Linked DNA regions of Arabidopsis thaliana. The main gene of each other region encodes a partner of the protein of the gene in region 3 in a complex. Each region holds a gene or a part of one and is shown on either strand. Other genes may lie near its edges. The genes, in order: AT5G45775, AT3G58700, STV1 and RPL16A.

The links.
Region 1: STV1 (region 3) and AT5G45775 share a complex: the UniProt entries of both Arabidopsis thaliana proteins name them as parts of the large ribosomal subunit.
Region 2: STV1 (region 3) and AT3G58700 share a complex: the UniProt entries of both Arabidopsis thaliana proteins name them as parts of the large ribosomal subunit.
Region 4: STV1 (region 3) and RPL16A share a complex: the UniProt entries of both Arabidopsis thaliana proteins name them as parts of the large ribosomal subunit.

What each region holds. Positions count from the first base shown.
Region 1 is NC_003076.8:18,563,636-18,568,674, forward strand, and holds AT5G45775 (Ribosomal L5P family protein), read right to left. Parts: upstream 2,948-5,039; 5' UTR 2,862-2,947; coding exon 2,859-2,861; intron 2,836-2,858; exon of another isoform or gene 2,770-2,835; coding exon 2,662-2,769; intron 2,567-2,661; coding exon 2,524-2,566; intron 2,437-2,523; coding exon 2,241-2,436; intron 1,845-2,240; coding exon 1,646-1,844; 3' UTR 1,357-1,645; downstream 1-1,356. Other genes in the region: RLP55 (receptor like protein 55), read left to right, coding at 1-1,210; AT5G45780 (Leucine-rich repeat protein kinase family protein), read right to left, coding at 3,311-3,604, 3,693-4,084, 4,166-4,504, 4,595-4,741, 4,823-4,896, 4,975-5,034. UniProt on the Arabidopsis thaliana protein: Component of the ribosome, a large ribonucleoprotein complex responsible for the synthesis of proteins in the cell.
Region 2 is NC_003074.8:21,709,496-21,714,426, reverse strand, and holds AT3G58700 (Ribosomal L5P family protein), read right to left. Parts: upstream 2,983-4,931; 5' UTR 2,767-2,982; coding exon 2,764-2,766; intron 2,675-2,763; coding exon 2,567-2,674; intron 2,473-2,566; coding exon 2,430-2,472; intron 2,110-2,429; coding exon 1,914-2,109; intron 1,810-1,913; coding exon 1,611-1,809; 3' UTR 1,323-1,610; downstream 1-1,322. Other genes in the region: AT3G58690 (Protein kinase superfamily protein), read right to left, coding at 3,181-3,462, 3,543-3,675, 3,773-4,031, 4,232-4,367, 4,483-4,721, 4,905-4,931. UniProt on the Arabidopsis thaliana protein: Component of the ribosome, a large ribonucleoprotein complex responsible for the synthesis of proteins in the cell.
Region 3 is NC_003074.8:19,658,847-19,663,895, reverse strand, and holds STV1 (Ribosomal protein L24e family protein), read left to right. Parts: upstream 1-1,870; 5' UTR 1,871-1,983; coding exon 1,984-1,994; intron 1,995-2,372; coding exon 2,373-2,448; intron 2,449-2,545; coding exon 2,546-2,647; intron 2,648-2,751; coding exon 2,752-2,900; intron 2,901-2,993; coding exon 2,994-3,147; 3' UTR 3,148-3,408; downstream 3,409-5,049. Other genes in the region: SRPK4 (ser/arg-rich protein kinase 4), read right to left, coding at 43-90, 247-1,179, 1,290-1,484. UniProt on the Arabidopsis thaliana protein: Might have an extraribosomal function in reinitiation of translation of ETTIN and MONOPTEROS genes that are involved in the auxin-mediated gynoecium patterning.
Region 4 is NC_003071.7:17,789,093-17,793,992, forward strand, and holds RPL16A (ribosomal protein large subunit 16A), read left to right. Parts: upstream 1-2,599; 5' UTR 2,600-2,701; coding exon 2,702-2,704; intron 2,705-2,782; coding exon 2,783-2,890; intron 2,891-2,976; coding exon 2,977-3,019; intron 3,020-3,365; coding exon 3,366-3,561; intron 3,562-3,655; coding exon 3,656-3,854; 3' UTR 3,855-4,050; downstream 4,051-4,900. Other genes in the region: AT2G42730 (F-box/FBD/LRR protein), read right to left, coding at 514-828, 914-1,054, 1,209-2,126; AT2G42750 (DNAJ heat shock N-terminal domain-containing protein), read left to right, coding at 4,312-4,560, 4,808-4,900. UniProt on the Arabidopsis thaliana protein: Component of the ribosome, a large ribonucleoprotein complex responsible for the synthesis of proteins in the cell.

The DNA.
Region 1 (5,039 bases), on a different chromosome or scaffold from region 3:
CTCCTCCTATCCACTAAACCCAAAACAGCTCAAAGCTCTCCAATCACTCAACATCTCTACACCAACTAATGATCCCTGCAACAACAACAACAACCAATCCTCCTCCTCGTCCATAACTTGCGACGACGCTTCTCCTTACCGCCACATCACCTCAATCTCCTTCACAAACTGCTCCTCCACTCTATCTCTCCCCTCCAAAACACTCAAACCACTCTCAAAATCTCTCATCTCCCTCTCTTTCACTAACTGCCCTTCACTCTCTCCTCCATACCACCTCCCAATCTCCCTCCACTCCTTCTCCGCCGTCTCCTCCTTCCTCCAAAACAACCGTACCAAACTCTCCGGCCTCTTCCTCGCTCGTCTCAAAAACCTCAAAACCCTCTACATTTCCTCAACCCCAATCCAAACCTCTCGTCGTCTTTATGTCATCCTCGGAAACATGCATAAACTCACTTCCCTCACTATCTCAAACTCAAATCTCACTGGCCTTATCCCTAAATCTTTCCACTCAAATCTCAGATACATAGATTTATCAAACAACTCACTCAAAGGCTCAATACGCATTTCCATTACTCGTCTCAAAAACCTCAAGTCCTTAAACTTATCTCATAACTCTCTCTCTGGCCAAATACCAAACAAAATCAAAAGCTTAACTTTTCTAAAAAACTTATCTTTAGCTTCAAACAAACTATCAGGAACAATCCCAAATTCACTCTCATCTATCTCTGAACTTACACATTTGGATCTAAGTATGAATCAACTAAACGGAACCGTTCCAAGTTTCTTCTCCGAGATGAAGAACCTCAAACACTTGAATCTCGCTGATAACTCCTTCCATGGAGTTTTACCATTCAACGAAAGCTTCATCAAAAATCTCAACTTTTTCGAAATTGGAAGGAACAGTGAGCTCTGTTATAACAAAACTGTTCTCTCCTCGAACTTGAAATTGGAGGGTCTTGCTCCGTGTGATAAATACGGTTTTCCTTTATGGTCTCCGTCGCAAAAGGAGGAATCTTTGTCAGGAGAAAACGATTACGACGTTGAAGGAGGCAATGAGGAGAAGACGGAGAATCTGAAGACGAAGGAAGAAGAAGAAGAAGAACACAAAGGTTCCAACAAGACTCTGTTTGGTCTCGGCATTGGTCTTTTCTCGCTTGTGTTCTTAATCCTCTTCCTCTTTTATCTCGCTAAAAGGTGTCGTTTGATTTGAGAAGTCTGGGACGTAGTAATTTTGTATTGGTTGTGTATTCACCCTTCTCTCCTTCTAAATGTTTTATTTTATTTTCTCCTGTTTTAGTATTTATGAATTGTGGTTATGAGTGTATTTATGAATTGTGGTTATGAGTATCTTTAGTTTTATTTATACAAATTTGTTCAAAACATAGGGTTAGTTTAGGGACTGTGTAGTCCAGAGACATATTCATCTATAAGGACAATGAAATCAAAGGAGCTGCTTTTGATTGATTTTAGTTTTGATGATGACATTGAATAAAATAAGAAACATATCTCCAAGGTTCTTGGAAGATTTAGATTCTACCAAACTGATGTCAAAAGATTTACTACAACAAGAAATTCTTTAACATCCAAAGATAACAACTTAAAATAAGCTAGAATCAACAAAAATCTTTAAAGATCAAAACACTTTTTAACCAGTGATGTTCTGAGACTTGTTGAGGATAACTCCTTCATACTTGACCTGGAACCATTTCATTGCATCATCCTTGGTTACTCTGTGTTGAATACCAACACGAGTCTTGCATCTACGGCGGCGAGCCACACGATATCCTGGGCGTTCAAGGACAACGTAAAAGTCCATTCCGTAGATACCAGTGGAAGGATCGTACCTATATACACAAAATAAAACACATGAGAACAGTAAACATTTCAAATAAACCAGTTAATCAGTTTCGAATCTAACACCCTTGAAAAACAGTAAAGCATTCATCTTTTACTAGACCCAAATCTAGCATTCAACCAAAAACTAGTAAAGGGCTCATTTTTAATCCAATCCATACTTAAAATTCCACAAAAACTATAACACTCAGCGAAAACCAAAGTAGTCTGCATTCTGACTAAACCTCACAAAACCCCTAATTTAGAGACTTGACATTTAGATGCAACTGAAATTCTTTTAAACATATACAGATACATGAAGAATCCAAGTACCAAAACCATTATACAAAGCCATTAATGTAACTAATTCAAGGAAACTTTCATCGCAAAAGAAACAGAAAACTTACTTGATTCCAAGATCAATGTGCTCTTGGATACCAAATCCAAAGCAACCAGTGTCACTGAAGTTCCTCCTAAGAAGCTCATACTCCTTAACTTTCAAACCACTCTCAAGAAGCTGCATTGCCTTCTCACCTCTCACAGTCACATAACACGCAATCTTCTCATTACGCCTGATACCAAAAGACCTCACAGTGTACCTCGCTGTATAACAAAAACCACAACATACATCAGAATCAAGATCAACACAAAATCAAACTTAAATCCCTGAAAGATTTCAAATTCACATACCCTTAGAGAAGACAGGGGTTTGTCCACTGAGCTGCTCCAACACCTATACGAAATAACCAAAAACAATAATTCAAATCTAAATCACTAAATCAATGATGGATAATCGTAAAGGTCAGATTTTTACAAACAAAATCGAACCTTGGAGGCACGAGTGAGACGATCACCACTCTCACCAACGGAAATGTTGAGAACAAGTTTCTGAACCTTAATGTCCCTCATGGGGTTCGAGAGCTTCTTCTCCGACGCCTGAGAAACAAAACAAAGCCGAAAAATAAACCCATTGAACTAAACACATTTTCATTGAATCGATCTACAGAGACGAACGAAACAAATACCATTTTAAGGAGATCAATGTCGAGCTAAGAGACGAAGCAGTGTAGAGTTTGCAAAGCCCAAAACTGCGTCGAGTGCAAAGTGAGAGAACTTATATGGGTCGGTACTTAGGGTTTCTTGAATTAACGCAATGACGAAATTACCCCTTTGATTTATTAAAATGGTTTAATGGGCCAATATTATAAAGCCCATAAGAAAAGCATAATCTTAAGCATATATTTGGCCTTCTTAGTTACATAAGGCAAATAGTCTTTCATTCGCCGAATCACTTTATTATGTATGAGTTTTAAAATTAACGATAGATAATTTTTTATGAGACTGTGGAAACGCAAATCTTCATTTATTTTTGGAAGAACAGAATAAATAAGAGTTATTGAGAAAACAAATTTTTACAGTTAATGCCATGACAATGACAACAAAATCAAGAAGACTAGTTAAGACACTATGAAGTCTATCATCGTGGTCCAGAGAGCTCAATGGCTTCAATAATAAAGGACTGCTCTTCATGACCATTACTGTAGTTCCTAGAGACACTTGGAGCTCTAGCTTCATACCCTCCTTCACACTGTTCCACTAAACCTTCTAGTACCTTCAACACTTGAGACATCCTCGGTCTTAGATTCGGATGTGGCTGTGTACAAAGCAAAGCCAATTCCACTACTTCCTCCAACACCAAATCATCAAACTCTCCCTTCAAATCTCTGTCCACCATCTCTGCAAATCTCTTCTCTGCTTTCAATGTCCTTACCTACAAAAACCAATGGTTTAGATTTAAGTTTTGTCCTTATGGGTTCAGTCTAAGTTGAGTAAATGACTCATAGAATTTTTTTACTTACCCAGCTCAATATCATTCCTTTTCGAACTTGACCATTGCCTTGATCAATCATCTTATGACCTGTTATGAGTTCAAGGATTAGTACTCCGAATCCGAAAACATCGGTTTTCTCTGAGGACTGTCCAGTGGAAAGGTACTCGGGAGCGATGTGTCCAATGGTTCCTCGGACTGCGGTAGTGACATGTGAATCTCTCTGGTCTAAAAGCTTTGCTAGACCAAAATCGCCAACTATTGCTTCAAAGCTCTCATCAAGTAGAATATTTGCAGCTTTGACGTCTCTGTGAATAATCTTTGGATTGCATTGCTCGTGCAAGTAAACAAGTCCTCGAGCTGCGCCGAGTGCAATGCTTATCCTCCGATTCCAATCTAGAGACGGCTTTTCTCCATAATTGTCTGAAACATGTAATCTTATAAGGAACTTTTCGCGTTATATATCGAAAGAATAACAAAACAAGAAATGTGTTAATTGAAAACCTCTCAGACGATCAGCTACGCTTCCATTTGGCATGTACGGATACACAAGCATTCTCTCTTCCGGGGTCATACAGAATCCAAAGAGGCGTAAAAGGTTACGGTGAACAGCTAAGCCAATCATCTCTACTTCGGTTTGAAACTGAACTTCTCCTGTATAAATCGGATCTTTCAATCTTTTAACTGCCACCACAGTTCCATTTGGGAGATACCCTTTATAAACCATCCCAAACCCTCCTTGTCCCAAAATGTTCTTTGGACTAAAATTGCTTGTTGCGGTTTGTATTTCGCGAAAACTGAACCTTTTCAGATGGCCGATTTCAAATTCGTAGTCTTGCTGCACTAAGAAATCCATAAAAAGTAATGCAGATTTTAGCAAAGTCTTGACATATATTGTATATGACAGACAGAGAGAGACTATTAGATATGTACCGTGTGATCTTGAGAGACGTGATCGATGCCAAAGCACCCAGAAGAAGAGAAACATTAGGGAGATGATAAAGGCAACAACAATGCCAAATGCAAAAGAGAGCACTAAGCTGTGATGTTTGCTATTGTCCTTTTCAGACAAACCCGTCGCTGCAGATCGATTGCAGCTAGTTAAATAAACGAAACCATGTTTTAAATAAAGTTTTGCAAAGAATTTTCGAAGCAACATACCATTTCTCACAGGTGTAGCATCTGAGCAAAGCTCTTGGGAAGCTGGACCACAAAGAAATGCATTTCCTACAATCCTAAAACAGAAAAGTTTATCAAGAAGCTTTCACATAAGTTGCAACGGCTAATAATCATGCATTTTTCGCATATCTTACCTGTAATCTTTTGCTGATATATTCGGAGTTGGTCCGCTTAGATTGTTGAAAGATAGATCCCTATT
Region 2 (4,931 bases), 2.0 Mb from region 3:
TCTATATTCCATTGAAAATTAACCTTAATTTGAATCTTATGTCAAGGTCATTTTCATAAGAAGTTTCTGTTATTTAAAAACTTGATGTACAATGTTCTCTTATTCTCTGCTAAGCTTAGTTTTTTCGTATATATCCCCATCCAAGATCTTATTGACTCCTCCGTTTTAAGAAGTTTACATACCGCGAGAACTCTCTTTTCATTGGAAGCTAGAGGTTACCAACCCTAATATATAAAATGACATTGAGTAATTCATTATTTACCAACAAGTTCACATGGGTTTAACCGAATTAGCAAACAAAAAAAAATCTGGTCCAAAAAATAAGTGATCAGAGGTCCAAAAAATAACGTGCAATGAATCTTGATACCAAAAAAATAAAAACGTGCTATGAATCTTATATCGAAAAATGAGAAGGAACCAATAGTCCAATACTATTGTAGTATTAGTATTAAAAACATGAAGCTCACAAAAACAACAGATTCACATCGCTTTTATGCAAGAAAATCGGTTGCTTTAATGTTTTAGCCCGTACCATCCAACAGAAAGAGGTTATGAGATCTTAACCAAAAAGTTTCCAGAGAGTGACATGGCCCTTTTCATGACAAATGGATACTATCTTAATATGTCACATTTGATGACGTTTTGTGGATGAATTTGGCCAGATAAAAACTGCAATTCATCTGAGATAAAAAGTAAAAATAAAAAATAAAAAATATATATGGGTCTAGAGACAAATGACTTTTAATATTTTATAAATGTGTACAGAAATTTGGGCTGGAAATGGCTTATAATAAATCTGTGTGGGATCAAGTCAAGATTCCTCCAGTCCTTTATTAAATTGTAAAATCATAAATAGATAAAACTATAAAAGCCTGTGTCATAATTATTAGTTTAATTACTCCATTATTGTCTCCAACTTCTTCTGTCAGAATGGAGCCAAAACTTGTATTTTCTGGTTGTATAGGTTTTCTGATTAGTTTATGTATGTAACGCGTGTTTACACACACAAAACGTATGTAATGTATATGTTTGATTTGGTCACTTCTGATCATGATAATTAATGTCGAACCAATCAATAATTCGCTCGAATCTGATGCAACTGAGAATTGACAATGAAACATGATTGGATAATGTTTTTGAAGTTGTTGTTATGTTAAATAATGTACAAGTACACAGGGTAATTATATAATTGACACGTCTTCTAAATATTAAACATATAGACGCATAGTCAAAGATTCGTTTAAAAATTTATGTAAAAATGCATTTTACCTCATGAAAAACTATAACGCAGTTATTAACTATAACACCAGAATGCGATTATAAGTCATAACACAAACGATTATTGTTGAACTAAGAGTGTTATTTTACAAAATTACGGTTTGGGGATGAGTTATGTAGATATAGAGAATGTTCATTACCTGTCGGAGTATCGAAAATTCGGAAATGTGTTTTAGACCTTTAGTCAGCTTTTGTCGGAGTAGTAGATACGCAAAATATATAAAGGAAAATCAAAATGTCTGAAGAACAGAGAAGCAAAACAAAACTGAGAAAATACGATTTGAACCCAAAAAAAACAAAACAGATGATAGCTATTTGTTTGACACATTTGTTTAACCAGTGATGTTCTGAGACTTGTTGAGAATGACTCCTTCATATTTCACCTGGAACCATTTCATGGCATCATCTTTCGTCACTCTATGCTGGATTCCAACACGAGTCTTGCATCTTCTGCGGCGCGCAACACGGTAACCTGGTCGCTCAAGAACAACATAGAAGTCCATGCCGTAGATTCCAGTCGATGGATCATACCTGAGATCAAATATATATTTAAAAACCCCGTACGTTTGATCACTGGTTACACAAAAGCCACTCTAAAGTTGTTCTATGTATGTGTTAGAAAGAATGAGACTTACTTGATACCCAAATCAATGTGCTCTTGAATACCAAAACCAAAGCAACCAGTGTCGCTGAAGTTCCTTCTCAAGAGTTCGTATTCTTTAACTTTCAATCCACTCTCAAGGAGCTGCATTGCCTTCTCTCCCCTGACAGTCACATAGCAAGCAATCTTCTCATTACGTCTTATACCAAAAGAACGAACAGTGTATCGAGCTGCAAAAGAGATAACAAGTGTTAAGATTTATGTCAAAACTCTCTTCATCCAAAACAAAGTTACAATCATCTTCCAAGCAATTGATACAAAACAATTGATAGAGCTACTGATTCTCACTACGATTATCTATGGATCCAGGCCAGTAACAATTAAAAATCATACACCAAAAAGTAAGAACTAATGACCTTCAAAAAAACTAACTCATCGTCCTAAACTTCAGAAGCATCGTGCCCCTGTTTTAGTCGAGATCACTAACTATCTCCAGCAAATTTTCTCAGAGATCGAACGATGAATTGATACAACTTAGAAAATAACTTACCCTTGGAGAAAACAGGAGTCTGACCACTCAATTGTTCCAACACCTACCAAGTTATCGAAGAACTAATTCCATTAAAATCGAGCATACACACAGGGTTGATATGAAAACCAGACAAAACAGATAAAAAAAAGTGAAACCTTGGAGGCTCTGGTGAGACGATCTCCACTCTCACCAACGGAGATGTTGAGAACCAGCTTCTGCACTTTAATGTCCCTCATTGGGTTCGATAGCTTCTTCTCCGACGCCTGAATTCAACCAAAATATATATCATCAAATCTCTATTTGAAACATCAAAAAACGTGAAACCAAAGAAGAGGAGTTAACTGCGACGGACCATTTCGGATTAGGGTTGCGATATATCTCCGGCCGACGGGAAAACACGAATCGGAAAGAAGAAACGGAGATGAAGCGGCAAACTATATAAACCCTAGTTCTAATTAGCCTTCTAGGGTTCTAAGCAAATTTTACGAGTACTCAAAATGACGATTGTACCCTCCTTTCTCCATCAAGCCCACGTTCCCTCACGTGACCTTTTTTCTCATGAACTAATATCATTCTCGTCTCTGTAGAATATAGTAATGGGTCAGGATTGGCCCAATAACTAGTAGCCCATAGAGATTCGAAAAAGTTTATTTGATGATTATCTCTATGACTCCATGTTTGATCACTCAAGTGTTTACATCATTGTCTGTTTTAGTAAATACCGTTACATAATAAAAGCCTCACATTTCGTCTTCTCTGATTGATTTATTCATTGAGAACCTATGCTTGCTTTACCCGGAGAGTTAGGAGACCGAGCCAAGCTAAAGCTACTAGAGCAGCCACTAAGCTTTGAAGCTGACCTACGGTTTCTCACTAATGGAACCAGTGACTGCACCACATCTGCCATTAAGGGTCTGTAGTCAGCTTCTGCTTGAACACACATTGCTGCTATTGCTGCAACTTGAACAACTTCTTTCGTAGAGTATTGTCCTTCGAGTGTTGGATCCATTATGTCTACTACTTTGTCTCTATCAGCCAATTGAGGCAAAGCCTGGAGATAGGAAAAGTTAAGTTATTAGAGCAAAGACAAGAAGAAATGACACAAGAGCAGTTTGTGAAAGGAACGCGTACCCAAGAGACAAGAACACCTTCTCCTGTAGCTCTCTTCATATCTACTGGAACTCTACCGGTTAGTAACTCTAACAGGACAACACCGTAGCTATAGACATCCGACTTTGTTGTCAAGTGACCAGTTAAAGCGTACCTGACATAAGATATTGAAAATATTGGTATTAGTATCCAACCTATCAAAGTTAACTGATGGAAACAAGAACAAAGAGATGATTGAGTGAAAAACATACTCAGGAGCTACATATCCTTGTGTGCCTAATACACGGGTAGAAACGTGTCCACCAGCTTTATCTGATCCGACTTTAGCCAATCCAAAATCTGAAACTTTGGCATTGAAGTTTCTGTCCAGCAGAATATTGCTGCTCTTAAAGTCTCTATGAATCACCGGGGGTGATACTTGTTCATGGAGATATTCCAAGCCTTTTGCAGCTTCCACAGCTATTCTCATCCTAGTTTCCCAATCTAATCTTGGTGGGACAGAACCAGACCCTAAATGCAAGAAAAAGAGATTTTTCTATCAAATCCAACAAGAATTCCAGACGTATATTCACCAATTCGTAATTATTATACACTATCTAGGATTCATGTTCAAATTGTTAGCATCTAGACAGATAGACTAAATTTGGAGTCTTCAGATGACAACTTCAAACATGCAGCAACTTCTAACTCTACTGGAAAAAGAAACTTACTGTTGGGAAGATACAGGTGTTCCTGCAGACCACCATTTGCCATGAACTCATACACAAGCAGCTTATGACTATTGTCTGAGCAATAACCAAGAAGTGCCAACAAGTATGGTGAACGCAGACGGCTCAGTAACTCAACCTGGCACCAGATACAAAAAATTGATCAATCAAGTAATCAAAAACGCTGCAAACAGCAAAATGTGCATAAGCTTTGAAAAAATAAAGATCAAAGAGTAAGCTAAAAATAATCAAACCTCCATCTTGAATTCTTCTTCCCCTTGCTTTCCTGCATGATCCATGAGCTTGATAGCAACTTTTCTGCCATCGTTAAGCACACCACGATAAACCAAGCCAAACCCACCATTCCCAACCACATTAGACTTGCTAAATCCACCAGTTGCTGAATGCAATTGCTTAAAGGTGAAAATTTGCAACCCATTTTCAGTAACATCTTGTACTTTCTGACAATCGCCTTTTTCCTCACAATCAAACCCTAAAAATCGACAGGTAAAACAATAACAGATTCAATACCCAGAACATAAATCGAACCCTAATTGAACAATTATCTTCCAAAATTATTCCTTAATTAGAACCAAATTTCAGCATCCGGCGTAAGAACAAGAAATACAGGTAAAAAGATAAGAAGGAGAAATGAAGTGTGAATTGTTGAGCTTACTCTTGCTAATTCTGTGACGCTTAGAAA
Region 3 (5,049 bases):
TCTTAGTAAAATGATAAACCTATCTGCTGATGATTCTATTACCTTGCGTGGCATCATCCCAAGAAGCTCCATCATCAGAGCCAAGTGATCCTGTTAACAGAAAAGCCAATTAGATTTCCAAACTCCCACAATAGAAAATTGAAGCAAATCCACGCTAAGATCCCACAAAACAAGAGAAGAGAAAGCCAAAATATGTAAAAACCACAAATGCACACAGCCAAAAGACAGCAGGGAACTTAAGCATACCTCATCTCTATCATAATTGTCGCCACTATGGGGATCAAATAGCACATCTCCAGTGACAAGTTCAAAACATATGCACGCGAATGACCAGAGATCTGCAGATGTAGAGTATTTAGATCCAAGGATTACTTCTGGACACCTATACTGTCTCGTTTGAATGTCGCTTGTGAACTGTTTGTATGTCCAACACGCATTACCAAAGTCAACAAGTTTACACTTGAGGTCAGCAGATGCCACAAGGTGCCTTCGACTTGATCGACTCCCTTTCTTACCACCCTGCTTTCCTTTCTCGCTACCATCTAATTCAATTGCGTCAGAAGTAGAAGGACAATCTTCTTCAACCGATTTTTCTGCAGCACATTGTTTTCCATTAACCGGTGATCCCACTCCACGAACTTTATCAGATTCCGTATTGCCCTTATTCTCTGCATGTCCCTGAGCCGAAAGCTTTGCCTTTCTATGACTTCCTGTTTTTTGATTCTTGACAAAATCACCATTGGAGTCAACAACTGTATTATCCTTATCAGTGGGGAGAACAAGAGGAGCTCCAGACTTCCTCGGATCTTTAGACGGATCAATAGTTGACGGTAACAAAACATTCTCAGGCTTCAAATCAGTATGTATAATCGAAAGCTGTTTATGCAAGTAGTCTAAACCAACCAACATATGATAACAAATCTCCTTAACCATAGGAATAGGTAAGCCACGGTAATCAGAATACTTAATCAACGTTAACAGATTATCTCCCAAATACTCAAAAACCATACATACATGCTGACCATTCGGACCTGAGTGTTTGAAATGATCCAAAAGCTTCACAACACATTTGGTATCATCAGTGTCTCCCTCTGCAATCTGTTGCAATATTGTTATCTCATCCATGGCTGCTTCAGTATAATGCTGAGCACTCTTTTGCACCTTCAAAGCCACATATCTCTGTACATTCGATATACGAGTAAGAAAATCACACAAACAAAGCAACGAAAAATTAATCTCTAAAGCATTTCAAGCAATTCGTGTGGCGAGAGAGAGAGATAGATGCGTACAGAGGATTGAGTATCCCAGGAGAGCCAAACAGTAGAGAAATGGCCCCAACCGAGTTTGCTCTGGACAACGTACCGGCCGGTTTTGAATGAGTCACCGATCCGAACGGCGTGGTAACCGCCGCGTCGGTAATCTTCTGTACCTTCGTCCTCCGACGTGTATTCACCACCGTCGCTGTTCCACTTCTCCGCCTCCATATTCAGTAAATCTAGACGCAACGCGAGACAAACTAAGCTCTCTACTCTTGGAATATCCGGCGACGATTCAATCCAATTTTGTGGATCTCTCTCTCTTTTGATTTGATTTTTTCTGGAAGCTTGTGCAGAGAGAGAGCTTAGCTACTTGTTCAAACTTTCATCTACCTTTTACGAAACGTCACCGTTTTTTAGGTCCATTGACAAGTTTCCTCTACCGTCGTCGGCTATGGGAAAAAATCAAAAAATTATTGGAGGAGAGCTGACGTCATCACTACAAAAATATATGGGCTAATAAAATTATGGGCCTATTTGTGATGGGCCTATTTAGTGGGCTTAAAGTGTGGGCCAGAATAATATATATAGACGAAAATGGCATTGGGTGAAATGTGAAGTCTCTTATATATAAGTATCGAGAGAATTAGGGTTTTCTAGTCTAGTGTTTCCGGGAGCAGCCTGAGCAGGAGGAAGAAGACGAAGAAGAAGAGGAGCAGCTACTACCATGGTTCTCAAGTAATCAAATCTCACCTCTCTCTCTCTCTCTGTATCTGTTCCTGTGTTGAATCTATTAACATCGCCTAGTGATAATGATTCATGATTTCACACTATCGGAAGGATCGATTCACTGAAATTGACTCTTGTTTCAATCGGAATTTATGATATGTTTTGCTTTACCGTTAGCTAAGCTGGGTAATTTCATGGTCTCTGTGTAGCTGGATCTGGTTCTAAGTAATAAAAGTATGATACTTCGTTAATATCTGTGATTAGTCTGTATTTGGTATATGGATGATTCATTTCTATCATGTAGACTGAGATTTTTCAGTGTCAAAGATCATTTGGTTGTCATTTCTAGTTGCAATGTCTCATTTGTTTATTATCTATGAAATACAGGACGGAGCTTTGTCGTTTCAGTGGACAGAAGATTTACCCAGGAAGAGGAATTAGGTTTATCCGATCTGATTCTCAGGTTGGTTCTTTTATGAATCTTCAGCTAATCAAATTGATTTGTTTATACTTTGCAAATGTTTTGGTTTTAGTCTTTTAATGGTTTGTATTGTTTTCAGGTTTTCTTGTTTCTTAACTCAAAATGTAAGAGGTACTTCCATAACAAGTTGAAGCCATCCAAGCTTGCATGGACTGCCATGTACAGAAAGCAACACAAGAAGGTAAAAAAAAAACTCAGTAATTTGGATCTGTTTTGTTGTTTGTACTTTGTTTTTTTTCATTGATCCTGATTTGTTAACATTCTAAAACTCTGTTTCTTTTATAGGATGCAGCACAAGAGGCTGTGAAGAGAAGGAGACGTGCCACCAAGAAGCCATACTCAAGGTCCATTGTTGGTGCTACCTTGGAAGTAATTCAGAAGAAGAGAGCTGAGAAGCCTGAAGTTCGTGATGCAGCCAGGGAAGCTGCTCTGCGGTTAGTTTTCTCCCTCTGTCAAATCATCCAACTAGGATTAAAATAGTTATATTTGACTTAATAAATGTATTGTGATGATGATTCAACAAACAGTGAGATCAAGGAAAGAATCAAAAAGACCAAAGATGAAAAGAAGGCTAAGAAGGTGGAATTTGCTTCTAAGCAACAGAAGGTCAAGGCTAATTTCCCCAAAGCTGCTGCTGCATCCAAGGGTCCTAAGGTGGGAGGTGGTGGTGGCAAACGCTGAAGAGCTTAAAGCCATCTTTTCTCACTCTGCGTCTTTTCTGCTAGTAGCTACTTTTAGTAGTTGATGTTCATTTCTGAATATTTGCAAAACATAAACCTTGTTATTTCGTTTTTGTCTCTCACTTTTGCTACTCTTATAATATCAGACTTGAGAATTTTGCTGCTTATGAACTTTATTTCACTGCTCTCTCTTGTCCTCCTATCATTAAAATCAGAAGAGTTTGTGTTCCTATAATAACTCTTTTTAAAACATTGTTTACTATCTTGCTACGCAATCTCATATCACCCGGTTGTGTTCAATAGCCGATTCTAATTGCAACTACTGAGCTAACAGCAACCTTGGTTATGTATCTTATGCTCTTTTGCTAAAATCGATTTAAGGATTGTTGTGAACATGTGACAACTTCAATTGTTACGGATTGCATCAGAACTGAAATTGCATTGTAAGGAACACCATGAATATTGGTTGATTTTTTCACACTGTTCAGTTAATTCATTTCAACAAGATTTATGTTGTTGGTCAATAACTTTAGCAATAAATTTACTTGTGGAAAATTTTCACGGGGCCAAAACATAACATATGTGGTTGGAGAAATATTTCGTTCATGCATGATCCTTGTCCCCCAAAAAGCCATACTCGCTTAAGTACATTTCGATACATTCGAGATATGATAGAAAACTGTTGTCCCTTTTGTTCGATTCTATTGTATTGTATAATAAAACTAAGCTAAGTTTTTAAAATTTTGGATAATGGGTGCTAATTTTTACTAAAACTTTGGGAATGTTTATAGTTTGTGTATAAGTATGAAATCCATATAATCTGTTGAAACAAAAACGTTTCCTAAGTTTATTTTTTATTTACTGATTTATGAGTTTTAACTTTATAAAATAAAATTATATAATTTAAAACCGAAGCGATTTTCTTTGGCTTAGGTTATATTACGAAATGGGCATGTGAAACACTATATAATGGAAGGAGGTAAGAAGAAGAAAATGATAACTCTACCACATTACCACCATTCTTACACCTTCCTTTTTCTTTCTTTTCCTTTTCGTTTGATTTTGGAAAGCAAGGGACTGTCGTCTCGGTTCGCGATCCACAAGTAATCTTTTGTGGAGATTATGAAAACAATCATCACGAGAGGCTACGTGTGGGTGGCAAACAAAGACGACAATCCCTATTCCAGTTCCATCAGAACTTGAAATATCATGTGAACTCTTGTGTCCCAACAGACACTTTACTACGGTGATGAAACTTGTTTGTTGTTAAGTGGGCATAGAGAACCAACCGGCCTCAATAAGTGTTAAGGTCATAGAAAAACGTAGACTGATCATCTAAATTCGTCATGAGCCTCTGTGGTAGCCCTCACAATGATCTCAATAGAGTGCATGCCACGATCTTGTAAAGACGTAGATGAGGGCTCCTCAGGTGTTCATGTCGAATGTTAGATGATGTATGTTAAAGTTTCTTACAACTCTACATCGTTAACACTTTAATCATAAATTGATATGCAGGTTTTCTGATTTGGAGAGGAGAGCTGTTTCATTGAGAGTTTTTAACTGTCTCCATGGTCAAGATAAGTAAGTCACATATTTGGCAATTATTGATCTCGATAAGTTCTGTCCCTAGCTAGAATCAAGAATGGGATCTTATATGTGGCTATCCAAACTCATAATTCATAATGATTTTGGTTAAAGAGTATTCGTCAAGCCAAAATATTAGCCTCACAATTTTAATTTTGATTGTTGGCTATTATTATGCTTCTGCTGAGTTTTGTCAGGTTTTGGTAAAAATAAACTAAAAGTCAGAAACCGCAATTGCAACATCTATAGGTATATAATATATTAGTAATAACCTCCTTTTTATTTTGATCGGTATATTTTTTGGCCATGATTCTTGGCT
Region 4 (4,900 bases), on a different chromosome or scaffold from region 3:
GGTGTATCCAATTCATGAAGCGTTTGAAAGAAGCTCCTGCATCTCTTGATTGTGACGTGGTCGTTAACACAAACTCCATTGGAAACGGAATCCGTTTTCTCCGAGATCACAAAAACCCCCTAATTCGATCTGAGGCAGAACTTCTTTCAGATCTTTGGCTCAAGTATCTTTACGCCACCGGTAGAAAACAGAAGTCGACAGATTCTGTTTAGTTAAACAGATTCAGAGAAATTCAGATTCAGGTTTTGAATGTAACTGTATTAATGTGTTAGAGACTTGGGTTTGAATGTATATGACATTATATTACTGCTTCTTAATATGGCAGATTTTGAATAAAGAAAAGGTTTCACGAGAGAAGATTAGAACACTAATATGTATGACAAAAGCTTTCTTCTTGATTCAATGAAGTCACACTCATTTCAAATCCATAAATAATAAAGCTTACTTAAGTACTATAGTTGGTTAAACTCACAATAATATGACAATGTTTTGCTACTAATCACATCACTTGGATCAGTTATTTTTTGTTAAAACCTTGACTTGGATCTTACACTTTGATGACGCTCTTGGAAGCATCATAAGATTCCTCATTTCCATGGTGGTTTGCAAGTTATTACTGTTGTTTACCACGCAAATTTTCACTAGCTCAAGACACGGTAACTTCTCCAAGAAATGCTTCATTTGATTCAGCTCTCTTGTCGTTCCTTGATAGCTCAATATCTCCAGCACCTTCACTTGAGATGATGATAGGCAAGAGGTTATGCTCTCGTCGGTATCATAGCAAACACATACATCCCCACATCTGTTTGTTATGTAGTGATCGAGACCCTGAAGCATAACAAAGAAAAAGAGTAATGTTAACGACCTACCAATATATATATGGTGTTTAGGATGTGTTTGTGACATGAGATACCATGAAGATGAGGGTTTCTAGGTTTGGAGAGTTCTTGATCAGAAGTGGCAGCATTTGCCATCCTCTTGCCTTGTCATTCCCAATAGATAGACTAACAAGGCTGTCGAACAATGGCATTTCTTTACATGAGAAATAAAGCAGCTTCAACAAAACACAATGTGTTAGTCTGTTGTCACTCAATAACACAAAAGTTGAAATAAATCATCAAAAGCCCCAAGTGAATCTCATTCTCGATAAGCAAAAAAAAAGAAGAATGTTATTTATAAGGAAAGAACAATATATAGAGGAGGCTGACCTCTAGAGTGTGGCTAGATAAGTGAAGGATTCTAACATTTCTGATTCCATTGATGAGATTTCTCATATCAGCGGGAATGGAACCGAGAGATCCATTTCTTACTCCCACCATTCTTGTTTCATCCATCCGAAGATTGAGTCTAGCTTCGATGAGGGAATCCAACTTAACATTAGGATACTTACCCAAAACATAACCAGAGTGTTTGTAGTAGATAAGATTAGGAGCATCTAATGAAATACTAGTAAACTTGCGATCAAATCGGATGTGTAGTCTCTTTAGAGATGGAGAAGACACGGAACAAGTCCAATCTACACATCGCCGCTCCTCAACAACCAGTTCTTCGAGAACAGGACAGCGAGATATAAGAGTTCCAACAACATTATGACCTCCAACAAAATTAACTGAGTCAAGACATAATGTCCTAAGCAAAGGAAGAGAAACATCTTGAGAAAGCTTGATTGTAAAACCACGTCCTACTCTCAGCTTAACCAATGTCTTGCTCTTAAAGATCATTGCAGGCACTGGTGGAGATTTTCCTTTTAAAGTAATGAACACATCAAGATCCATAACACCATGGTCAAGAACGTTGCAAATCCAACTTTGAATGCGAGATGAATCAGTGCCACCTCGAACACCAACATGACTCTTTAGAGTGAGCTTCTTTATAGAAGAACCACGTTGCGTATCTAGCAATTTGTCAACGAAAGCCATGTAATTTCTGTGAATCTCAATCCGGTTTTGCTTAGTCTTAGGCACAGATTGACGATCATCAATATCAAGATTGGAAACCAAAACAAACATGTTCTTCCACCTCTTAGAGAGTACTGAGGTTGAAACAGCTTCTTTTGTGGAGATAAGAGACAGAATACGCCCAAGAACCTCATCTGGTAGACGGCTGATTACATCTTTAGCATTCATTGATACCAAAACCTTAAAACCACAGCAATTGGATTCAGAAACAGTAACTAGACAGAGTTGATGAGTTCAAAGGTCTGTTCTTTTTCATACAATGCAAAGTCTAATACAAAAGTTATCATGTATCTCTTCAATCACATTGATTACCATAGAAATGAAAAAGACGAAACAGAGCAGACAACATACCTTGCTAAAGTGCTACTTGCTACAGAGTCGTGAAAGCTCTCCACTTTCAATACCAATTTAATCGTGAGATCAAAAGTGAAAACATCGAATACTAGGGTTTTGGAAAGTTTAAGAGAAGAGACGAAGAAACTGAAACAACTTATTATAAGCAATTTCCTCCATTTCCACATGAGGAAAGAGTAAAGCAGAAAGACTGATGAAGAAAAGGTAAGTAGTCTGTTTGGGAAAGAAAGTCACGTGAGAGAAGCGTGGGCCTTTAAGGGTAAAACTGTCATTTAAATAGTCGCCGTTCTTTACACTTAGGATTAGGGCTTCTAACATTTAAATAGTCGTTTCGTTCTCCGTCTCTCCTTTCCCGTCGGCCGGTGATAATTTCGCAACCCAAATTCCAAATGGTAAGTTTCAGTTCTTGGATTTGTATGATTTTGTAATGTGAATAGGGATTTGAAGATTTACTTACTTTTGAAATTCAGGCGTCGGAGAAGAAGCTATCGAACCCAATGAGGGACATTAAAGTGCAGAAGCTGGTTCTCAACATCTCCGTTGGTGAGAGTGGAGATCGTCTCACCAGAGCCTCCAAGGTTCCTCCTGTTTTTTACCCATTCTCTGTGGTTTTCACTCTTGTTGTCACTTGGTTATAATCGATTGATTCGTGGTTACTTGGTAGGTTTTGGAACAATTGAGTGGTCAGACTCCTGTTTTCTCCAAAGGTTAGATTTTTTCTCATATTTGAAAGCTTACAAATAGTCTGGTTGATAGATTTAGTAATCTAGAAGAATTTGGGAAACATAGTTTAGTTAAGTCTATGAATGGGTGCATGGTTTGATGATGAATTTGAGATTTTGGAATCCAGTAAGTCCCTTATCTGGTGGTTTGTGATAACTTGATAAGCCTACCAGTCCAAATTAGGAGCTGTTCGTTTCCCCGCTTCTGATATAGTTGCGTTGTGCACTCTGTTTTATATGCATCGCTTTTGGTTTGCTCTGAGAGACATGATTTGGTTTAGCTTCTTCCATTGCAATTTTCAAGAACCCTTGTTATGTGTGGCTTTTGCAGCTAGATACACTGTTCGTTCTTTTGGTATCAGACGTAACGAGAAGATCGCATGCTATGTAACCGTCAGAGGTGAGAAGGCAATGCAACTACTTGAAAGTGGATTGAAAGTCAAGGAATACGAACTTCTCAGAAGAAACTTCAGTGACACTGGTTGCTTCGGTTTTGGTATTCAAGAACACATTGATTTGGGTATCAAGTAAGTCAATCCCCTTAAATCATCCTGTCATAACACTTGGGGTTCACCACATTCTTGGTGATACTCATTGATCTTTGTTTCACTTCTTATAAAGGTACGATCCATCAACTGGAATCTATGGTATGGACTTCTATGTGGTCCTAGAACGTCCTGGCTACCGTGTAGCACGTCGCAGAAGGTGCAAGGCTCGTGTTGGTATCCAACACAGAGTAACTAAAGACGATGCAATGAAATGGTTCCAGGTGAAATACGAAGGAGTCATTCTCAACAAGTCCCAGAACATCACTGGCTAAAACAATTCCTCCTAACTCTTTCTTCTGTTTTAGAAAACCCTGTCTCAGTTTTGTTTACTTGTCTGAATCTTAATCTTTGTACTTTATATGCATTATTGGCTTTAGTTTCAGTTATTTAAGTATCTAATTTCGTGTGAGGATAAGCAAGATAAGAAAATTTTGGCGGGTAGTTGAAGCGTGTGGAGACATATAAATCCACTAGCTGACACGTGCCACGGACGGCTAAGCACGCTTTCGCCGATCGCCGATCGCCGCTAGATTCATCTCGGATTCCTCCAAATAAGCTTCCCTGGTTCTTATCTTGCCACGTCAGCATTTCTCCCTCGTACGCCTTAAATTCTTCACAAAAATAATAAAAATATTAATTCAAATAAATGTTCATCTTCTCCTACGAATGAAATTGAAATTAATTTGAGCGATCGGAACAGGATCGGGTCGGATCTTTTGAAGTTCTTCAATGGCGCAGATACTTTCCCCTGTTTGTACGGATCTTTTGAAGTTCCAGAACTCAGCTCTTAGCTCCAGATCAGGTGCGTCGCCGCGGTTCTCGGCGAAGACCACCGGTGCTTCTTCATCTTGGTACTTACCTCGGTACGCAGGAAAGAGGCGAACCGATTCAATCGGAAGATTGAGAGTTGCAACTGAGGATGCTTCTTCTCTTTCCACCGGTGATGTCGCCGATGATTACTATGCCGTTCTCGGACTCGTAAGAACCAAGGCTATTTCAATCCGATTTGATATATGCATATAGGGATTTTGAAGTGATGATTTTTTTTTTTGGTTTAAGTTGTTTGCTTATGATTGAAACTTCTTGTGTATCATGGAAAAATACTCTGCATTTCATATGGTTGTAGCTAGATTCATCTTTGTCGAAATTGTGAAGCCTTTGACAGGTTACAATCATTAAGATCAAAGATTGTGACTTTAATAACTCTCCTTTGCTATGTCAATAGCTTCCAGATGCTACGCAGGAGGAGATTAAGAAAGCTTACTATAACTGTATGAAATCGTGCCATCCAGACTTGAGTGGCAATGACCCCGAAACC